Caenorhabditis elegans: one gene and its partner. The protein of the gene in region 2 interacts with the protein of the main gene of each other region in a biochemical or structural test. Each region holds a gene or a part of one and is shown on either strand. Other genes may lie near its edges.

Region 1 (3,756 bases), on a different chromosome or scaffold from region 2:
ATTTACTGTCACCATTTGAGACAAACTTGTACTTGGATAGGCTGTCTTCTAGGAGATAATGTTCTGAAAATAAACGAGTTACGGTATTGTAGAAACATTTAATCTCACCTCTCTGTACTTTTGAGAGTCCTTTCAGCAACTGGTAGAAAATGTGGAACGATCGCTCATTGGGAGCTTGTTTCAGCACGCGAGATTTCTCCAGAAGATAAAATTCAATATTCGCTCCAGAAATGCACCCTGTGCTGTCGAAATGAACGCGAATGAACTTTCCCTAAAAAATTTAACGATGCGTGCATTTAAAAAGTTATGATCACTCACAAATCTACTGGAATTATCGTTCTTCACTGTCTTACTGTTTCCGAAAGCCTCGAGTATGGGATTTGCTTGCAAAAGCTGTTCCTCAAGCTGGCCCATGATCCGGTTTGTAGATGTGTCCAGATCAACGGAAGTCTTCCGATTCTTCACCATCGACCGATTTGCCACATAAGCCAAATACTGAATCACTTTCTTTGTATTTTCAGTCTTTCCAGCTCCCGATTCTCCACTGAAAAAAACAACACATTTCAGGATAATATAAACTCGTATATTAACTAACGTGCAGAGAATTGACTGATCATCTCGTTCTTGAAGCATGCTGCGGTAGGCTTCATCGGCAACAGCAAATATGTGTGGTGGCATCTCCTTTCTCTTTTTGCATTTGAACTGTTCAGCAATTGTATCCGTGTAGATTGGAATTCGTTTGTATGGATTTATTACAACGCAGAACAAGCCAGAGTATGTCTGAAAATAATTCGATTGATATTTATATAAATGTATAAGTTTTTGCCTTAAATAAATATTTGAAATGTTGCAAAGGTCATCAGGATCTCTTGATTATTAAAAACCAACGACCGGTTGAGACGTTCTGCATATTTTATATCTCACCTGATAAAAAGATTATCAAACTACAGAAATAACTGTATTCCTTCTTAGAGATAAAGGTCACAGCAAGGTTCAATATAGGAAAATCTCCGGGAATGGCAGAAGCCGGTCCATTTACAAAATTTCTACTTTGAAACTTATTCTATAATTTGAGCTGGTTCCTCTGAGTTAGGGGGTTAAATCGCCACAAAGAATTGCTACGAAAGAAACCGCATCTTAGGCTTATGTAAACGCCAAAAGACGACAACCAGCTTGACGAGAATATTTATATTCAATGAAGAATTGTTAGCTATCGACAAACTTACGTAGTAGAGATTCGAGAAATATCGTTGCTTTAGATTATGAAGAACCGACGCTTCATTCAGACACGTCAGCATTGACATATCCTCGCATTTGTCATATTTCGGAGGATTTGGCTTCTGGCAATCATCAGACGAAACACGCTGCCGTTCGCCAGTCTCCATAAGCTCAATGTCGATAGTTCCGTCTGCATGTGGTTCCCCGATGACAGCTCCAAGTGCGAATCCATCCTTCTCACTGGGTACCCACATCAACTTTTTTTTCGCCCAATCTGCCGAAATCGATGGATTGAGGAAGTCTGTCTTGGCCTGAAAATTAGAAATAAAGCTATAACTATAAAAATATTTGAAGAAACATACTCTCAATTGGTCAATCTCATCATCTTTTTGTCGAGATGATGTCATTATTACCGCTGGAGCTGTTGTTGTAATCAATTAGCTGAAAAGTTAAATGGAATAAAAGGCGGGTAATCTGCTTGTCCCATCTGACCTGACCTCTGGTAACTGTGGCAAAACGCGTTTTTGATACACGACGTCCCGAAAATATTTTCAACATAAAATTTTTTAGACGTCAAATTTTCAAATCCACTTGTTGCTACGGCTACAGAGTTCTACAAATTTAGGGACACGCTGTTTGATAAAATAAGTATGTGGTAAGAAGAAAAACAATAAGGTCATGGCATTCACGCGAAGAAAAATGAGTCGTGGAAGCTAGTTCTCAAAAACGGGTTTGATAATATGCATAGGCTCAGGTGTCAGCATTATCCCTCAAAAAAGGAAAGAGAAAAGTATTTCAGGAAAGGCATTCCATAAGACTATTCAAAAACGTTACGCAATTAAATTCGTAATTCGATTATGAACACGAATTCGCAGTGCGATTCACCAAGGTTGACTATTGGAAACAGTAAAATGAAACGAAAAAAGTGAGCACAAAGATTGAGAATAGGGTTCACACACCATCGAAATTTCGATTTCCGCCCACATCAATTATCAGCGTCAACAGATAAAGCAACATACCTCTTGTTTTTGCCCAGCCTACGCTTTTATTGATTATTTTTAAAACTAGTTTAAAGAAAGGGTCAATTTCTCAGAGGCCACGATGGCACGCGACTTATAATTCAAAAGTGAAATAAAACAATCTTTTTCTCAAAAATCTGTTAGTGAGAAGCCTTTCGTATATCAAATACTTCCCACAAAAGGACGATAATGGAAGCGCAGCTGTGCCGATTTTCCAGCTGTCTTCCCTCTACCGCTGACCCTCTTTTTTAACTGGCGTTCTCCATTCCGCCATTGCATTGATAATACGATGGGAAGCGCTAGTTCCGTGGGAACCATCCACTTTTGGTAATGTACGAACCGTTCGGTGAATTTCGCAATATTTTGGTGTGAGGTAAAGGAAGATGCGCCGAGGGAAACAAGGGTCAAAACGAAATGCAAACGAATACCCATTCAGGCCAAGCGTGCGCGCCGAGAATGAAGAATAAACGGACGGGATAGGACACGAATTGGCTCTCTCAACTTGTCACAAGTTACCGACATGAATGGTGATTCAGAAAACAGAACAGGAATCTTTTCGTGGTGACGCCGCGGCATTTGTATTGGGTTTGGCGCCAAAAATAGTAGAAATGGTGCGCGAGGATGATTTGAAACTGGCGCCCTCGGCTGTCGCGAGACCCGAAGAACTCGGGGGATGTTCAACTGGGGGGATTACCAACTCGGGGGATTGGCCCCGCCCACAGAACCGTGGCTTGCAATACGCCCATTTCTGCAAATGCCGCACGGTTTTAAAATCATTTTTTCTTGTTAATCCTCGCTCTATTGATAAAAATACAGTTTTAAAACCGTGCGGCAGTTGCAGAAATGGGCGTATTGCAAGCCACGGTTCTGTGGGCGGGGCCAATCCCCCGAGTTGGTAATCCCCCCAGTTGGACATCCCCCGAGTTCTTCGGGTCTCGCTGTCGCTGGACACAGTCTGCATTTTTACGTGAGGGTGCACCAAACATATTTGAATTGTACACCATTACGCCACCTTGCGGCCGTAAGAACTCGTGCTTTAATATTGAAGCCTCAATTAATTTTCCTGCATTCAACGAAAAAAATAACTCACTTTTTTTTCAAATTTCAGATATGGACGATAAAAAGGAAGAAACACCATCGATTGCTCCTGTTCTTTGTGGAGAAGAAGGTAGATTGAGTAAATAAAATGCTGAACATCGTTCGAAAAAAAGATTTGCTTTAAAGCCAGAACTGAGTCAATAATATAAATTTGATTTATTTTAATAAAAATAAATGAATAATTATTTAAACATTGCATTTTTTTCTTTCAGAGGAGGCAGTCACCCTTGGTGAAATCGTGGAAACCATCGATTATTTGGAAGACAAAGCCGATGTATTGTTCGCAACCCAAAATCCAAACGTTTGCACTTATGCAGAAGGCTACAAACCTCGTCAAACATTATTCACATGTCTCACATGCACACCTGCTCCAGAGATGGCTGGAGTTTGTTATGGATGCGCTTTAAATTGCCACGACGGG
Region 2 (3,756 bases):
TTAGCAGGAAATTCAAATTTTCAGTAAAAAAAATTTTGGCGGGAAATTCAATCAGTGAAAAAAATTTTGGCAGGAAATTCAAATTTTCAGTAAAAAAAATTTTGGCGGGAAATTCAAATTTTCAGTGAAAAAAATTTTTGGCGGGAAATTCAAATTTTCAGTGAAAAAATTTTTGGCGGGAAATTCAAATTTTCAGTGAAAAAATTTTTGGCGGGAAATTCAAATTTTCAGTGAAAAAATTTTTGGCGGGAAATTCAAATTTTCAGTGAAAAAAATTTTAGCGGGAAATTCAAATTTTCAGTGAAAAAATTTTTGGCGGGAAATTCAAATTTTCTGAGAAACTTTTTGTTAGCTTAAGTACCACCTGGAACTGGCGAGACCCATCGTGGTGGGACCTTTAAAAATATGGGCGGGAGCTTCAAAATTTATGAGAAAAGAAATTTTGGCGGGAATTCAAATTTCCAAGAAAAATTTTGGCGGGAAATTCAAATTTTCTGAGAAAAAGATTTTGACGGGAAATTCAAATTTTCTGAGGAAAACATTTGGCGGGAAATTCAAATTTTGGTTCTGGAATCAATTTTTTGTTTCAGCACCTTCTGGAAGTTTCAAGAAAATTCTAGAATGTTCTAGAATCATCTGGAAAATTCAAAAAAGTTCTGAAATGCTCTACAACCTCCTATAACTGTAGGAGTTTTTATTTGTTTCGTCACATCTATATTCAAAGAACTTACTATTAGTAGTTAATTATTCAGACTTCTCCAGTTAAGGAAAGTTATTAACTTATTGAAAAACTGTAACTCTGTGGAATTTTTTCGGGGGAGGGGGACAGCTCGCCACGCCAACAGTGAGAAAAATAGTGTGGTGCGCGGACCTCGAATGATGTCGGCGGCTGATATTACCTGGGGTACCGCTTTTTGCCTTTTCCCCGTGAGTGAACGAGAAAAAGGCGGGGACTATTTTGGCGTACACGCAACGCAGTTTTATAATTTTGAGTGTAGAAAAATCAGAACATTCTAACTGTCTCTTTGAATTTTCTGAATCGAATACCATGGAAGAAGAAAATGCGATTTAATCGATGAAGTTTCAACTTTTTTAATGATACATTTTTGAATGATTAAAAGGACATCTATGTATTATACATTTTAAACTCCGCCAGTCGTTGGCCGCGCCGGAGGCGCGGTCATCGACTGGTTTTAATAAATAAAATTTTTAAAAAATTTGGAAAACAGAAAATTTGCCAAAAACCGGGAGTTTGTAACTACAGTAATCCTTAAAGGCGCTCGGTCGTGTCGAGACCGGCTACAGTATGTTTCAAGCTCTAATTTTTTGATAACTATTTTTTTTCGAAATTTCCAATCATCAAGTGCTCACCTTTGCAAAATTTCCCTTTCCAATAGTCTTCAATAGCTTATACTTTCCAACGTGTACATCCTGATCGTTGCGTCGTGCTGCCGATCGACTTGACATACCCGATTGTCCAGTAGATCGTGCATGTGATGAAGAGCTGGAAAAATTTTTATTGAAAACTGGTGGACTGGGGCTTTATTTTAATTTTAAATGTGAACTAAAATTAACTTTTTTCGGTTATGTGTGACATGATCTCCATCAGGTGACACTTTCACCGTTCGCCGTTTCCCAGATGAAGTTAGTGTGGGAGCCATCGGAGCTGTAGTGACCACTTCAGACACTTTTCGCTTCGGGATCAGAGATTCCTCCTCTTCCGGAATAGGCGTCACAGATGAACTACTTGGCTGGCACATAAATCTAGCGAGTAACGACGAGTATGCCGCATTGAACATATCGAATTAGGTCAAACGGACGCGTAAGAGCCCTGGGGCTCCCCGAAATGGAGCAAAGCGTGGAGGACGGACACACTGGAAAAAACGAGGAGAGCGCCGGCAGTAGAAGAGGAGCAAGCGAGCAAGAAGAAGAAGATGGGCGGCCTTTCTCCATACACATCCATCCATCCATCCATCCACACTTTGGAGAAGAGACACAAATTGCATCCATGTCTCTCTCTATCTGTCTGTATTCCTCTTGAAAAAAGTGTGAGCAAAAGGAGAAAAAAACTAAGAGGGAATATGTGTCCCCTTCTCTTTCTATTGCTCCCATCACATCGGAATTTCTCCAAAAAACCCTCCCCGCCGACCGATAAATGCCCCCACAAAGTGCTGCTCCAAGTGCTACATAAAATCGTGTCCCCCCCCCCCCCGCCATGCCTCTTCGTTTTTTCTAATTTCCCTTCGCGGACCCCCGTTTTTTTGTGGCTTTGATGGACGGGGCTCGTTGAATTTCTGTGTTTAAATTTTCATTCGATGCTGACTGCTTGCGGGGCCATCCAACGTCATCTCGTTGTGCTTGCAATTCTTCATTTTGAGTGAAGACGTCAGCACAGAGGGGAAGAAATGACGACTTTTACAGCCGATTTAATGAAAAAAAAAAACTCGAAAAATAGCGCTTCGGAAACTTTTTTTTTTCATTTGAGACGCGTTGTTCCAATAGAAAAGGAAGTTCCAGCCCCTCAGTTAGAAAAAATTGTTTTTCAAAAAGAAAACCGTTAAACTGCCTTTTTTGGATATAAAATCAAAGGTCAACCGAATCTAGAAACGTACTAATTATATTCGGCCACTTTGCCCCATTTAGTGGCTACGTTCATCATATTGCCCGTACCTCGTAGAACACAAAAAAAGTAAGGCGAACTCAGGCGCCGGACATAAAATGTAAAATCTGATGTTCAACAAGAACAACGATGGTCTTCTTCTATACTACAAGCTGCTATGATGAATCATGGAAAATTTCTTGCAGCACGACCAACGAAAAATTGAGGGGGCGATGAGTCATATTCAAGAAGAGAAGCAGCCGGAAAAAATATTTTGAAACAAGATAGAAACCTGGTCAATTCATATTCCGGAAAAAAGGTCCGAGGCTGTTGAGATGGATAATATGCAGAATGCCGTGAAGATGTGGAAGGTGGTGAATATGAATATGGATGATCGTCACAGCACAAATCATCGAGATCCAGTGCAAATGCGTACGATTTCTTCGTCATCTTAACAGTTCTTGAATCTTGAATCGCGAACAATAATTGAATAAAATAGTGTCGCACGTGAATGTGTAAGGTGATCCAGCAGCTTCTGAGCAGGTGTGTCAACCAGTCTGCACTGTCAGTCAGTTCAGTACAAAAATGAGTCAGTTCTTCAATTCTCTCAGTCGAGGCGCTTGTCGTTTTCTCACAACGTCTGCGTGTCCACCTCTCCTATTACTGACTCTCTTTCCGATAAGTCAATAATAAAAATTGAATAGATTGGGGGTGGAGGAGGTAGAACCGAATAGAATAGGACAACACACCAGGTGCACCGAGACGACGAAGATGGAGTTGAAAAAAAGAAGTTCGCGTCTCACTTTTCTTCTTTATAATCGTACTAACCGAGAAACTCATCACAAACTCTCGGATTGACGTGGCACTATTAAATAGGTTGAGAACTAAGAGGGTGGAGGAAACATGAAAATGTACACCAAAGAGCATCATTACAAAAGCAATGAATAGGGTTGTGCCAGTTTTTGGTTGTTAGTCAATTAGATTCCAGCTTACAGGAGCTCCAATAGCTTATCGATTGAAATGGTTCAAAGTCTATGAATCACATCCGGCGGGCCGTCAAAAATTGACTCCGTCATGTCTGTGAAGTAGTGATAAAGTTTCTGTTTTTGTGTGCCTATTGACTCATTTTTGACAGAAATTTGAAACATGGGATAGGT

The links. Proteins that work in one complex are often made in the same cells at the same time.
Region 1: the proteins of par-1 (region 2) and nmy-2 form a complex in vitro, tested with the Caenorhabditis elegans proteins (one study listed by BioGRID).

What each region holds. Positions count from the first base shown.
Region 1 is NC_003279.8:7,932,919-7,936,674, forward strand, and holds the start of nmy-2 (Myosin-11), read right to left. Parts: upstream 1,660-3,756; 5' UTR 1,626-1,659; coding exon 1,581-1,625; intron 1,530-1,580; coding exon 1,227-1,529; intron 781-1,226; coding exon 596-780; intron 545-595; coding exon 319-544; intron 272-318; coding exon 109-271; intron 64-108; coding exon 1-63. Other genes in the region: T22C1.1 (UBR-type domain-containing protein), read left to right, coding at 3,348-3,405, 3,548-3,756.
Region 2 is NC_003283.11:14,124,740-14,128,495, forward strand, and holds the start of par-1 (Serine/threonine-protein kinase par-1), read right to left. Parts: upstream 1,800-3,756; coding exon 1,576-1,799; exon of another isoform or gene 1,517-1,575; intron 1,505-1,516; coding exon 1,372-1,504; intron 1-1,371. UniProt on the Caenorhabditis elegans protein: Required for cytoplasmic partitioning and asymmetric cell division in early embryogenesis. Phosphorylates and restricts the asymmetry effector mex-5 (and possibly also mex-6) to the anterior cytoplasm of the zygote.